Linked DNA regions of Cricetulus griseus. The protein of the gene in region 2 interacts with the protein of the main gene of each other region in a biochemical or structural test. Links are inferred from orthologs where the notes say so. Each region holds a gene or a part of one and is shown on either strand. Other genes may lie near its edges.

Region 1 (3,653 bases), on a different chromosome or scaffold from region 2:
AATGAACAAGAAGTTAGATATGGACACACTAAGCCAGCCTGTCTCACTGGAGAACAGCAATGGTGTTCATGGCATGGGGGGGGAGGGTGGTGGCCACATGTGTGAACATAGCATGTTTTTAGTATTTCCTAGTTTACATTTAAGCATCTAATTTTTTTTTTCAGTTGGTAGAGCTTGATAGCCAGGATGTGGAATATGCCACGATAAGTGAACTTTTTAAAGCATCCATGAAATATTTCAAGATTGTATCGATAAAGAGGATATGGAATCAAGACCTCTGGGAAACTTTTGAAAGGTGACATAATCAGACCTTGTTTGGGACTGTGTAGTTAAAGTATACTAAGAGGGCTCATTTTATTTTCACATTTATTTGGTACTAGGGTGCGGGGCATGCATGCATGTCATAAGGCAACTTGCTGGAGTCATTGGGTCTGCCCACGTGGGTCCAGACGATTGAACCCAGGCTCTCATGCTCAGCGGCAGCCATCTTGCTGGCCCAGTTTCTTGGTACTGAATCTCACATTTCTGTATATTAGGAAGAAGCTGATGATGAAGAATGACAATGAGATGCTGCTGTTTCATGCAACATGCCGTGTTCATGTGGATTATATCTGTAGAAATAATTTCGACTGGATCATAAATGATAGTCGGGAGACCAAATATGGAAAAGGTTTGTGCTGGGCTAGAGACAGCCATGATTCCAGCTCCGCACATGCTTTTGTTGAGATGTTCTTGGCATTAGTTTGTAAACTTGCATGTCTGGGCTCTGGTGGCCCTGGAAGAAAAGAAGCTAAGTTACCTTCAGCCTGTGTTAGGACAGGTCTCTTGACTTGGGGGTGTGGGTGTTAGGCCTTGGCTCTAGGTCTTCGGTCTTGTTTCTCTCTGGGGACAACTGAAGGTCTTCATTCTTGTAAACTGCTCCATCTACTGGCTGTATTGTCTGCCGTTAGCACTTACTGGAGATGGCTCTTCCTGTCCTATGTCTGTGACTGCAGAGCTTTTCAAACTATCTTTCTGTTGTCACCAATGGATTCCAGTTAAGAATGGGAAGAGGGGCCGGGAGTTGGTGGGGCACGCCTTTAATCTCAGCACTGGGGAGACAGAGGCAGGCAGATCTCTGTGAATTTGAGGCCAGCCTGTTCTACAGAGCAAGGCCCCTTCTCATGTCAGCCACATTTTTATTTTTAAAGAGGTTTGCCCTCCTTTTTTTTTGTTGAGGAATCATTCACTCTTTGTGGGTGTTTGAGGAATGTGACGTAGTCAGACCCGGCAGCATAGTACAGTGTAGAATTCTGTGGCGGGGACCAGACCTGTCTCAGGGAAAAATAATACAAACTACCTGGGAATGGTGGCGCATGTTTTTAATCTCCGTACTTGGGAAGCAGAAGCAGGAAGATCGCTTGAGTTTGAGTTTAGCCTGGTTCACATAGAGAGTTCCAGGACAGCTAGCACTACCTAGCGAGACCTTGTCCTAGATAAAATAAAACAATGACAAACTGAGGTGCTGGGGACAACTAGGAAGGAGGGGGGTAGGTAGCAATGACAGCTGGAGCTATTGGTCACAGACAGGTGGTGGGATAGTAGTAAGTGTTATTGGCAGATGTTTTTCACCCATACCAATGTCTGCTTCTCTGTATCCCGTTATAACCTATACTCATTGATAAATAACAATTTACCACTTTTTCTGGTTATTTCTAGGAAATTACTTTGCAAAAGAAGCCATGTATTCCCACAAGAATTGTTCATATGAGGCCAAAAACATTGTTATGCTTGTCGCCCGAGTCTTGGCTGGAAATTCCATTGAAGGAAATATGAGATACAGTAGCGCTCCCGCCCTCTATGACAGCTGTGTGGATAGCAGGTTGAATCCCTCGGTCTTTGTCATCTTCCAGAAAGAGCAGATTTACCCAGCGTATGTGATTGAGTACACGGAGCTAGAGAAAGAGAAAGCCTGCATAATTAGTTAGAAAACGATGTATACTGCCGCGTCGAAGCCTTTATGTTGACTTCTAGGACCAAACCATCCCCAGACAGTAGTTAGACTTTTGCATTTCCTTGCTACATTACCTAACGTCTTAAATCAGCCATTCTCAAACTTCTCTCCAGATTCACAGTCCCTGGCCAGGCAGTTTTTTTGTAAAAATTGCCCCCATGACTCCAGCATTTTGAAAAGATTTCGTTGTCTTACATTCCTAGTGAGGCTGGTTTCTAAATTGTCTGTAATCTTATCTTTCCCATCTACTCTTTGTTTTTATTGTGTATGTAGGTAGCATTGTTTCGGTTTCGCTTAATTTGAACTGGATATTAGTTTGAGAAATTTGAGAGACATGTAATAATGTTTATGGAAATAGGGACATATAAGAAGACATTGCAGCTTTGAGTAGAAAACTTGCTGAGGAAAAAAGTTTAAAGGTTAAATTTAAACGATATTGAGACACAAAAGCAGTACGCAATACTATATATTACCATGCGATGAAACTGACCTGAGGAACACATTTCTGTCTCTCTGCATTTACTTAGAAGACAGACTCCATGGAGTTGACTCTGAAATACAGTGATAAGCACCCCTAAGTATAGTTCAGAAGCAACTAACTGGAGTTAATTGTCCATTGAGGCTCTTGGTATCCGAGTTCTAATTCATGTGATTACAGAGGATGCTTCTTGCAGGCTTTTGTGTAATCATCCGGATTTTTTTAGTAAGATTAAGTTGCAGTACTGATAAAACCTAGTGTTATTGGGATTTGTGTACAGTGACAGAAGGGTTGTCAGAAGCCAGGAAAGGCCTTCCCTGTTGGAAGGGCCTTGTAAGGAGGCAAGACTGGTTTGTTGGTGAGCGCAAAGCAGTGCAGAGAAAGCAGTGTCCCACATAGACCTTTACTGTTAGCCACATCTTTTTGAAAGCATAGTGGGTGTGGGTTTTTTAGAGCATTTAGGACGCCCGGACCAATTTTTTTTCCTTGCTTACTGTGTACAGATCAGGTCCTTCCTTCCAACCTCCCTTTCTCAACGTTCTGTCCCAGTTGCCAGAGTTTCCTGGCATATTTTTTCCTTTCCTGTTACATTTTCTTCCAGCAGACATGTTCATCGTTAATGGGCATTTGATCAGATTTTTCATCAGTTGCTTTACTTTGAAAGTCTCCAATAATGATATATTGAGAATTTTTTAGAGTGGGATTCTTGTCATTCATTGCCACAATTTTTCTTTTTTAATTCACTGATTTTTCTTTTCTTTTTCTCACGTGGTATCTTCTATTTTGGAATACTCATTCTCTGACATAGACTTCATACTGTAGACACGTAGTGCATCTAACTACTTGGCAAGCTAACTTCTAGTTGGATATTTACCTGCCATCTCCAGTTCAACAGGCTCAAAATGGAACACTCTATTTGCCTGCTTCAAAGTGATTCACCCCCAAAGATTCACCTGCCCCAACCCCATAAACAGTATCACTTGCTCCCTGATACACAAGCAGAAAGCTAGAATTCCTCCCAGGCTCCTAGCTTCCCCCAGTCTGAGTCGTTCCTAAGCCCATTCTGAAGCACCTAGTTCAATTCTGTGGGTCTCAGTGAACTGTTCTGTCGGGGTTCCCACCCCTCCCCGCACAAGCAATATCTGTTTTAATCTCTAAAGTGCAATTCAGACATATATTCTC
Region 2 (3,653 bases):
CAACAGGGCGGGTGGGATAGGCTGTTACTGCACAACAAACTTACAAGGAACAGAGGAGGTACACCGCAGGAGTAAGGAAGACATCAAACCAGATAAAAGAATTAATCAAGAGGGCGATTATCCTGCCGGGGGAGGGGCAGACAGGATACTTAACTGGGTAAAAGACCTCAATAGAGGAAAGCGGGCCTTCCTAGATAGAGGGAGAAATGTTCCTGCTGGCTTGAGGAAGCATATGATGCCAAGTTGAAAGAAGGCCTCATCAGCCAGCCAGTAAGAAAGTGTACACTTGATCTATAGCCCCAAGGAACTTAAACTCTGCCTGTAGTCAGGTATGCTTGGAAAACAGCCCAGCCTGAAGCTAGACCATTGATGCCTTGTCAACAACAGGGAGCCACACCCAGATACTGAGCTAAGGGAACTGTGGGACAATAATCAGATGTTCTCCAAAGCCCCAAATTTAGGTAAGCTATCGCAGAGCATAGAAATACAGCGTGTCTCCGGGACACTTCCAGCCCCAACTCTGTGAGGTCCAAACTACTATCAACGCTGAGATATTCACACACACAGCAGCACCCTCGTCACGACTCACCTCCAGAAACTCAAACTCGTCCCCTTTGGACAGGGTGAGCTCAACCTCCGCCTTCAGGTTCTGCATCTCACTCTTCTTCTTGGCAAGAACCTGGTAGATGCTGTCCAGCTTTCCGTGGATCCGCTTCTCCTCCTCCTTCAGCTTACGCATCAAGTTGGTCTCCGCTGAATCAAGGATAGCCTTCATTTCCATATATTCTTGCCTCAGTTGTTCCTTTTTCCTGTTCATAGAGTCCTACAAGGCAAAAATGAAGGGGCTCCTGTCAGATGGGTGAAAATGCTAAGGCCGCATTCCTGTGTGTCGGAGAGAGGGGAGCACCAGGAACTGTATGACACTTCATGGCACCATTCTAGGCAGCCATGCCTCTGGAGGCAGAGGCAGGCAGATCTCTGAGTTCAAGGCCAGCCTGGTCTACAGAGTGAGTTCCAGGACAGCCAGGGCTACAAAGAGAAACCCACTCTCAACAAACAAACAAAACAACAAAAAGAATGTTAACAAGCACAGCCAGGTATGGTGACTCACAACTGTAATCCCAACACTTGGGAGGCTGAGATAGGAGGACCAAGAGTTCAAGGTCATCCTTGGCTTCATAGCATACTTGAGGCCAGCTTGGGTTATGTGTGACCCTTGTCTCCAAACTGGGGTGGGAGATGAGGGGGAGACAACTGTTCACAAGCATCATTGTTTGAAACAGCAAAAAGTGAGCTGGTCACAGTGGCACAGATTTATTATTCCAGTTCCTCTGGAGACTGAGGCAGGAGGGACACTTGAGCTATCTGGGGGTGGGGAAGCTAAGTACAGGAGAGACTTGATGCAAAGACTGAGAACCATCCTAGGATGAGACATTAAACGATAAACTGGAGGTACATGTGGATCCAGCTCACAAGGGAAAACACATAAGCTATGTGATTCTTTTCACACAAAGCTTAGACACTGAGGGAATGGCGGTGTTTGCTACCAAGGAATGCATGCACAAACAAAAAGGCATAAATATGTAAACACACGGGAATGAATGAGCTTGTGTTTAGGGTATAAATGATTAGGGAATAAATATGATAAATTAGGAACGGGGAGGGATACACTGCAGACGTTAACATAACATTTTATTTTTCAAGACAGGCTTTCTCTGGGTAGCCCTGGCTGGCCTGTAACTCACAGACAGCCACCTGCCTCTGCCTCCTGAGTGCTGGAATTAAAGGCATGCACCACCACTGCCTGGCCCCTAGTAAATTTTTAAAAGAAGGCATGAAACAATTTCAAAAACTTCCGGAAGAGGATTATTCCCTAGAACTCTCTTTTTGAGTGTTCCACGTGGCTGCTGCGCATTTGAAATGTGCCAAATTCAAGAAAAGATCTATCATGACTCTTAGTAGACACTGGATGTCAAAGACTTGATACCAGACAGCAGTGGTATCCCCTTTAATCCCAGCACTTGGGAGGCAGAGGCAGGTGGATCTCTGTGAGTTTGAGGCCAACCTGGTCTATAGAGCTAGTTCCAGGACAGCCTCCAAAGCCACAGAGAAATCCTGTCACAGAAAAAATAAATAAATAAAAACAAAACAAGAAAATCAGAGATGTCTGGAATGTTTCTGGTAGACAGTGTTGCTTCAAAGGTTGTAGTTTTGAACAAACTTCTTGGTTAACCTCAATAGTTTAGAATCAAACATGACAAACACAAATACTGTACACCAAAAGAGTGGAATTCAACTTTTAAAAAACTGTTACATTTATTATTAATCACTATTATTTTGTTGTTGTGTGCACACTCCCCCCAGGAGGTCAGAGGGCAACTTTCAGGAGTTGGTTCTCCTCTTCCTCTGGTCTTGGGGATCAAACTCAGGTTGTCAGGCTTGTGCAGCAAGCCCCTTTACCCACTGAGCCATTTCACTGAGCCTCTCATCCAGCCCTTCCCACTACCTCCTCTGTGAACACCAGTGTCCTTCAGTGTTCATTTCCTCTTTTGCTCTTTAGTAAGAGAACACCCCAGGAGTGTCAAGTGGGTATACAGCTTCTCAGACTACATTTCCCAGACTACCCTGCAAATGGGCTTAGCCAGGGTGGCTAAGTGGCTAAATTGCCTCCCGTGAGGCAAGGCTAGAAGTAGTATGTGCAACACCACATTGATTGCTTAAGAGGAAGTTGCTTGTTGTTGGTATCTTCCATCTTGCTTCCCTTTTCCCAGGCTAGAGCAAACAGGTAAAGGTGACCCAGAGTAAGGACCCAGTTTGGGCTGAATTCTGCCATCTTGGTGGTAACTGCTATATGACCCTAACACAAATCCCAAACCCTACATGACATGTTAATAGTTGTTATTATTATTATTTTAGAAAATCTAGGTACATTCCAGTTGGCCATGGGCCACCTTTGCCTATCTTAGCACAAAAAAAAAACCCCTTCCCTCCTGCCTTGTGACACAGGGATCGGGGGGATCCTCTTGTTTTGCTACTACTTAACATATCCTTCTGCCAATAAATCCTTAATATATTACAGCCTGTGCAATCCTGGATCTGCCAGCATCTTTGTTCTTCAGTACCTTCTGCCTTGACAGCCAGTTTCTATAATAGCCTTTGGCTTAAAAAAAAAAATCCAGCTTCAATCAAAGGCATGAGAGCATCAAACTGTGGAGTAGTGGGACAGTAGGAATGTTCATTTGGAGCAAAGCCATGCTAAGGGTCAAGAGTTGCTCTTGTGTGGACTTAGGTTGTTAAACTGAACAAAATGAACCACCTTATTGATTTGCATTTAAATGGATCCTAATCCTAGGAGGTTAGCCTGCCCTCCAACCAACCAATATTCATAATTCTACCTTCACCCTGTAGGTCTCACTATCTTCTCAGAGGAGTTGTGGTTGCTTTGCGTGTGTTTCGGGGCGGGCGGGGGGGGGGGGAGTAGGGGGGGTTGAAACTTGCATCTCCACCAACACAACTGAAGCCATCAATGAAGGCACAGTTGCTGCATCTCAGCAATGGTATTCTTAAAATTCCAGCTCCTTTCTTTCAATATAAAGGTAATATGGTACCATAGAGAAGGCTCAGTGGTTAAGAACACTGCCTGCTCTTCCAGA
Region 3 (3,653 bases), on a different chromosome or scaffold from region 2:
CCTTTCTTTTCTCCAGTCCCTTTTAAAAAGATTTATTTTTATTTTTCTGTGTTTTTGTCTGCATGTATGTAAGTGCACCACATATGTAAGTTACATTGGAACTAGAGTTACAGACAGTTGTGGGCTGCACATCTGCAGGGAACTGAACCCATATTCTCTGGAAGAATAGCTGGTGCTCTTAACCACTGAGCTGTCTCTCTAGCTCCCGTTTCTGAGACAAGGTCTCTTTTTGTATCCCTGGTTGGCCTGAAACTTGCTATGTGAGTAGGCTGGCTTTGAACTTGCGGAGTCCTCTTTCTTCAGCCTCCTGAGTCCTGGGATTGCTAGCATGAACCACCATATCTGGCTCATATATACACTTCCTTAATTCCTGGTTATTTAGGTACCTTATAAGAATTCTTTCATTCTCTTTTGCTTTATTTTCTTTCTAAACCCAAAGTTGATCCATCTGGAAATACATATCTGAAAAATAGTCTTTTTAAATCATCTTCTAAATTTACTTTCTTCCTTCCCTCCTTCTTTCTTTCTTTCTTTCTTTCTTTCTTTCTTTCTTTCTTTCTTTCTTTCTTTCTTTCTTTTATTTTTGAGACAAGGTTTCTCTGTGGCTTTGGAACCTGTCCTGGAACCAGCTCTTATAGACCAGGCTGGTCTCGAACTCACAGAGATCCACCTGCCCCTGCCTCCAAAGTGCTGGGGCTAAAGGCGCGTGCCACCACCGCCCGGCTCTTTTCTTCTTTTGAGACAGAATCTCTGCATACAGTGCAGGCTAACCTTGAGCTGGGAACTTCCTGCCTCCTCCTCCCAAGGTGTATATCACCACTGGGACTCCATTAGATCTGCATTGATCCCGTCCAAGAGCAATGTCCCCAATTACCTAACATCCTCTCACTGAACTCAGCTCTTGAGAGTGTCACCATCTCCTAACCTCACCACACTGGGGACTAGCCTTTTGCCACATGAGCATCCTGAAGACACTTAAACAGTATGGAAGGACAGCGCTGGGAGAGGAGTTCAGGCAGTGAATCTATTAAAGGCCCTGAAGTAGTGGGGTAGCATGCTCTCTCCTCACAGTTTTCGGAACTTCTCTGTAGCTACTTGGTAGGGAATGGACTGAGAAAACAGGCAGGTGGTAAAAACACCAGTTAGGAGGGACATGGGTCACCCAGGAGCAGGATGACATGGTCTGACTAAAGTGATGAATGGACCGACGGGGATAGAATTGTGTCACGTTCTCTTTATCATTCCTCTCACTGTAGCTAACATCCACACTTCCGACTGCCCAAGTCCTGCTGATAACTCATTTCCTAGTAGCATAGAACACTTTCCCACCTCCTCACATCGAGTAACTGTTGGTAGCCACCTCATTTGTTCAGGAACTGGGAAAGCATCTCATTGTGAACTGGGTGTGATGGCACCATCTGTAAGGTTCTGAGTCTGAGGCCAGCCTGGGCTACATACTGAGACCCTGTCTGTGGGGTGGAGGCAGGGAAAAGCTCGACACTACCACCTGTTGGGTACCAGCCCTTTGTTCTACATTATGAAAATGAATGGGTGAGGGGAAACGTTTAACGCATAAGTGCAATTCTGGTCTTTGGATTTTGCTGTACTGTGATTGTCTCAAGAAGTCCAGGAGACTAAACTAGTAGACCAGACTGCTGTGGCCGTTCCCACTTCACCTTCTCCCTGTGCTGGCATCTCCTCAGAGTCTGAATCACTGTGGGCCCTGCATGTTTGAATCAAGCAGCTAGAGTTAGCTCCAGCTGTGCACACAGATGATCCAGGACAAACATCTCTGTGCTCTGCTGAGTGGTTGGTGCTGAGTGCTTCTCTGAGGTGAGGTCTCTGACCTCATAGGAAAGCAGAAAGGCTTTGTTGGGTACGGTGCTCCCATTTTTATATACCTGTCTCCGATGAAGCTCTTGAGGCCTACTATTCTAATGGTGTCTTTGGTTTTAAAGGCAAAGTTGTGTTTTTTTATTTTATTTTTTTAAGATTTACTTACAGTGTTTTGCCTGCACACCAGAAAAGGGCACCAGATCTCATTATAGATGGTTGTGAGCCACCATGTGGTTGCTGGGAATTGAACTCAGGACCTCTGGAAGAGCAGACAGTGCTCTTAACCTCTGAGCCATCTCTCCAGCCCGGGTTCTTTTTTTTTTTTTTTTAATTTCTGAATTACTTTGACTGTCAGTCCCTTAAGCTTGTAGAGCTCAGACACTACATAGCTGAGTTTGAATTCTTGCCATACCCACATTGTGTGACTTTGGGTAAATTACCTAGTTTTCCATTTGTAAAAGATTTATTTAAAAATTATGTGTATGTGCATATGACTGTGTGGGACGAGTGCTGTTGCTCCCAGGGGCCAGAAGAGAGCATTGAATCCCCTGGAACTGGATATACAGGTGGTTGGAAGCCACCCTACCTGAGTGCTGGGAACTGAACTGGGGTCCTCTGCAATAACCTAACTGCTGAGCCATCTCTCCATCCCCTTACTCGGTCCTTCTGAACCTGTTTCCTCTTTTTAAAATGAAATATTGACCTCATGAAATTAGAAAAAATTAAATGCAATTATGAATGTAAAAAACTTTGACTTTGGGTCATTTAGTAAATAATCATCTTACTTACACAATACAGCTGAAAACGCAGTCTACTTCAGGATAAATATCCTATTTATAATGAATAAGAAAGAAAATTAGAGGATGAGGCATGCCAGGACCAATCTTATTTATTTATTTATTTATTTATTTATTTATTTATTTATTTATTTATCTATCCCTCTAGGAAAGTTATTTCAAATTCAAAATAGAGAGTTCGGCACTCAGAAATACGAACAGTGGATTGTCGATGTTCACAAAGCATGCATGGTGTTTCAGATGGCGGACAAGGAGGAGGAAAGCAGGATTTGCAGAGTGCTTTTTCTGTACACGTCACACTTGAGGGTACATTGGCATTCTTTGGTCACTGCATCTCCTGGGATCTGCACTGTGGCAGCTGAGAGAACATTAGCTTCTCATCCTAGCCAAGAGCTTAATTAGGAACTTTCCATAAAGTCATCACCAACCTTGTTTTCTGAAACTTAACAGCATGTCTACAAAACTGGAACAGAGGCCCAGAGGCCTATGTCAAGCCTCCAGCCTTGCTTTATTAATGTGGTCGGGGAAAATTGGGTGATGATGAAACACATGATTGGAAACCACCATCTCTGACTTCAAGAAGTGGTTCCTGTTACCACATCCTGAAGCCTGTGTGGTCTTTACTTTGTTAAAGCCACATACTTAGATCCCTGGGGGCTCTGGTTAACACAGAAGAACGGAATAGCAGTAACAACTGTCACTCTGTTGTTAGGCTATGGGAAATATTTAAAGGCTTGTTCCATAGCATGCGTTTGCAGAATTTTAATGCTTAATGGACTTTTGCCATAGGTGGTAAGGGCCATCGTTCTGAAAGGTCCATGTACGATTTAGTTATGATGTCGGAATTTAAGGGGAATGTCAGCACCACAATGCGGCGTAATGTCAAAGCTGACTTGCTTTTACTATTGTTTCTTATGATACACTGTTTTTCCTTCTCTACCAAGGTGGAATTTTACAATACAAAGTGAATATACCTAACTAATATTTCTAGCTAACTGAAACAAACAAACAAACAAACAA

What was found.
Region 1: of the proteins of Trim25 (region 2) and Zc3hav1, one has a biochemical effect on the other in vitro, tested with the Homo sapiens proteins (2 studies listed by BioGRID). The link is inferred for Cricetulus griseus from reciprocal best matches to the Homo sapiens genes TRIM25 and ZC3HAV1.
Region 3: of the proteins of Trim25 (region 2) and Ddx58, one has a biochemical effect on the other in vitro, tested with the Homo sapiens proteins (5 studies listed by BioGRID, with this or other methods). The link is inferred for Cricetulus griseus from reciprocal best matches to the Homo sapiens genes TRIM25 and RIGI.

The regions. Positions count from the first base shown.
Region 1 is NW_023276806.1:189,850,512-189,854,164, forward strand, and holds part of Zc3hav1 (zinc finger CCCH-type antiviral protein 1), read left to right. Parts: intron 1-164; coding exon 165-295; intron 296-536; coding exon 537-670; intron 671-1,698; coding exon 1,699-1,967; 3' UTR 1,968-3,653.
Region 2 is NC_048600.1:102,145,965-102,149,617, reverse strand, and holds part of Trim25 (E3 ubiquitin/ISG15 ligase TRIM25), read right to left. Parts: intron 824-3,653; coding exon 590-823; intron 1-589.
Region 3 is NC_048595.1:102,341,220-102,344,872, forward strand, and holds part of Ddx58 (antiviral innate immune response receptor RIG-I), read left to right. Parts: intron 1-2,781; coding exon 2,782-2,939; intron 2,940-3,653.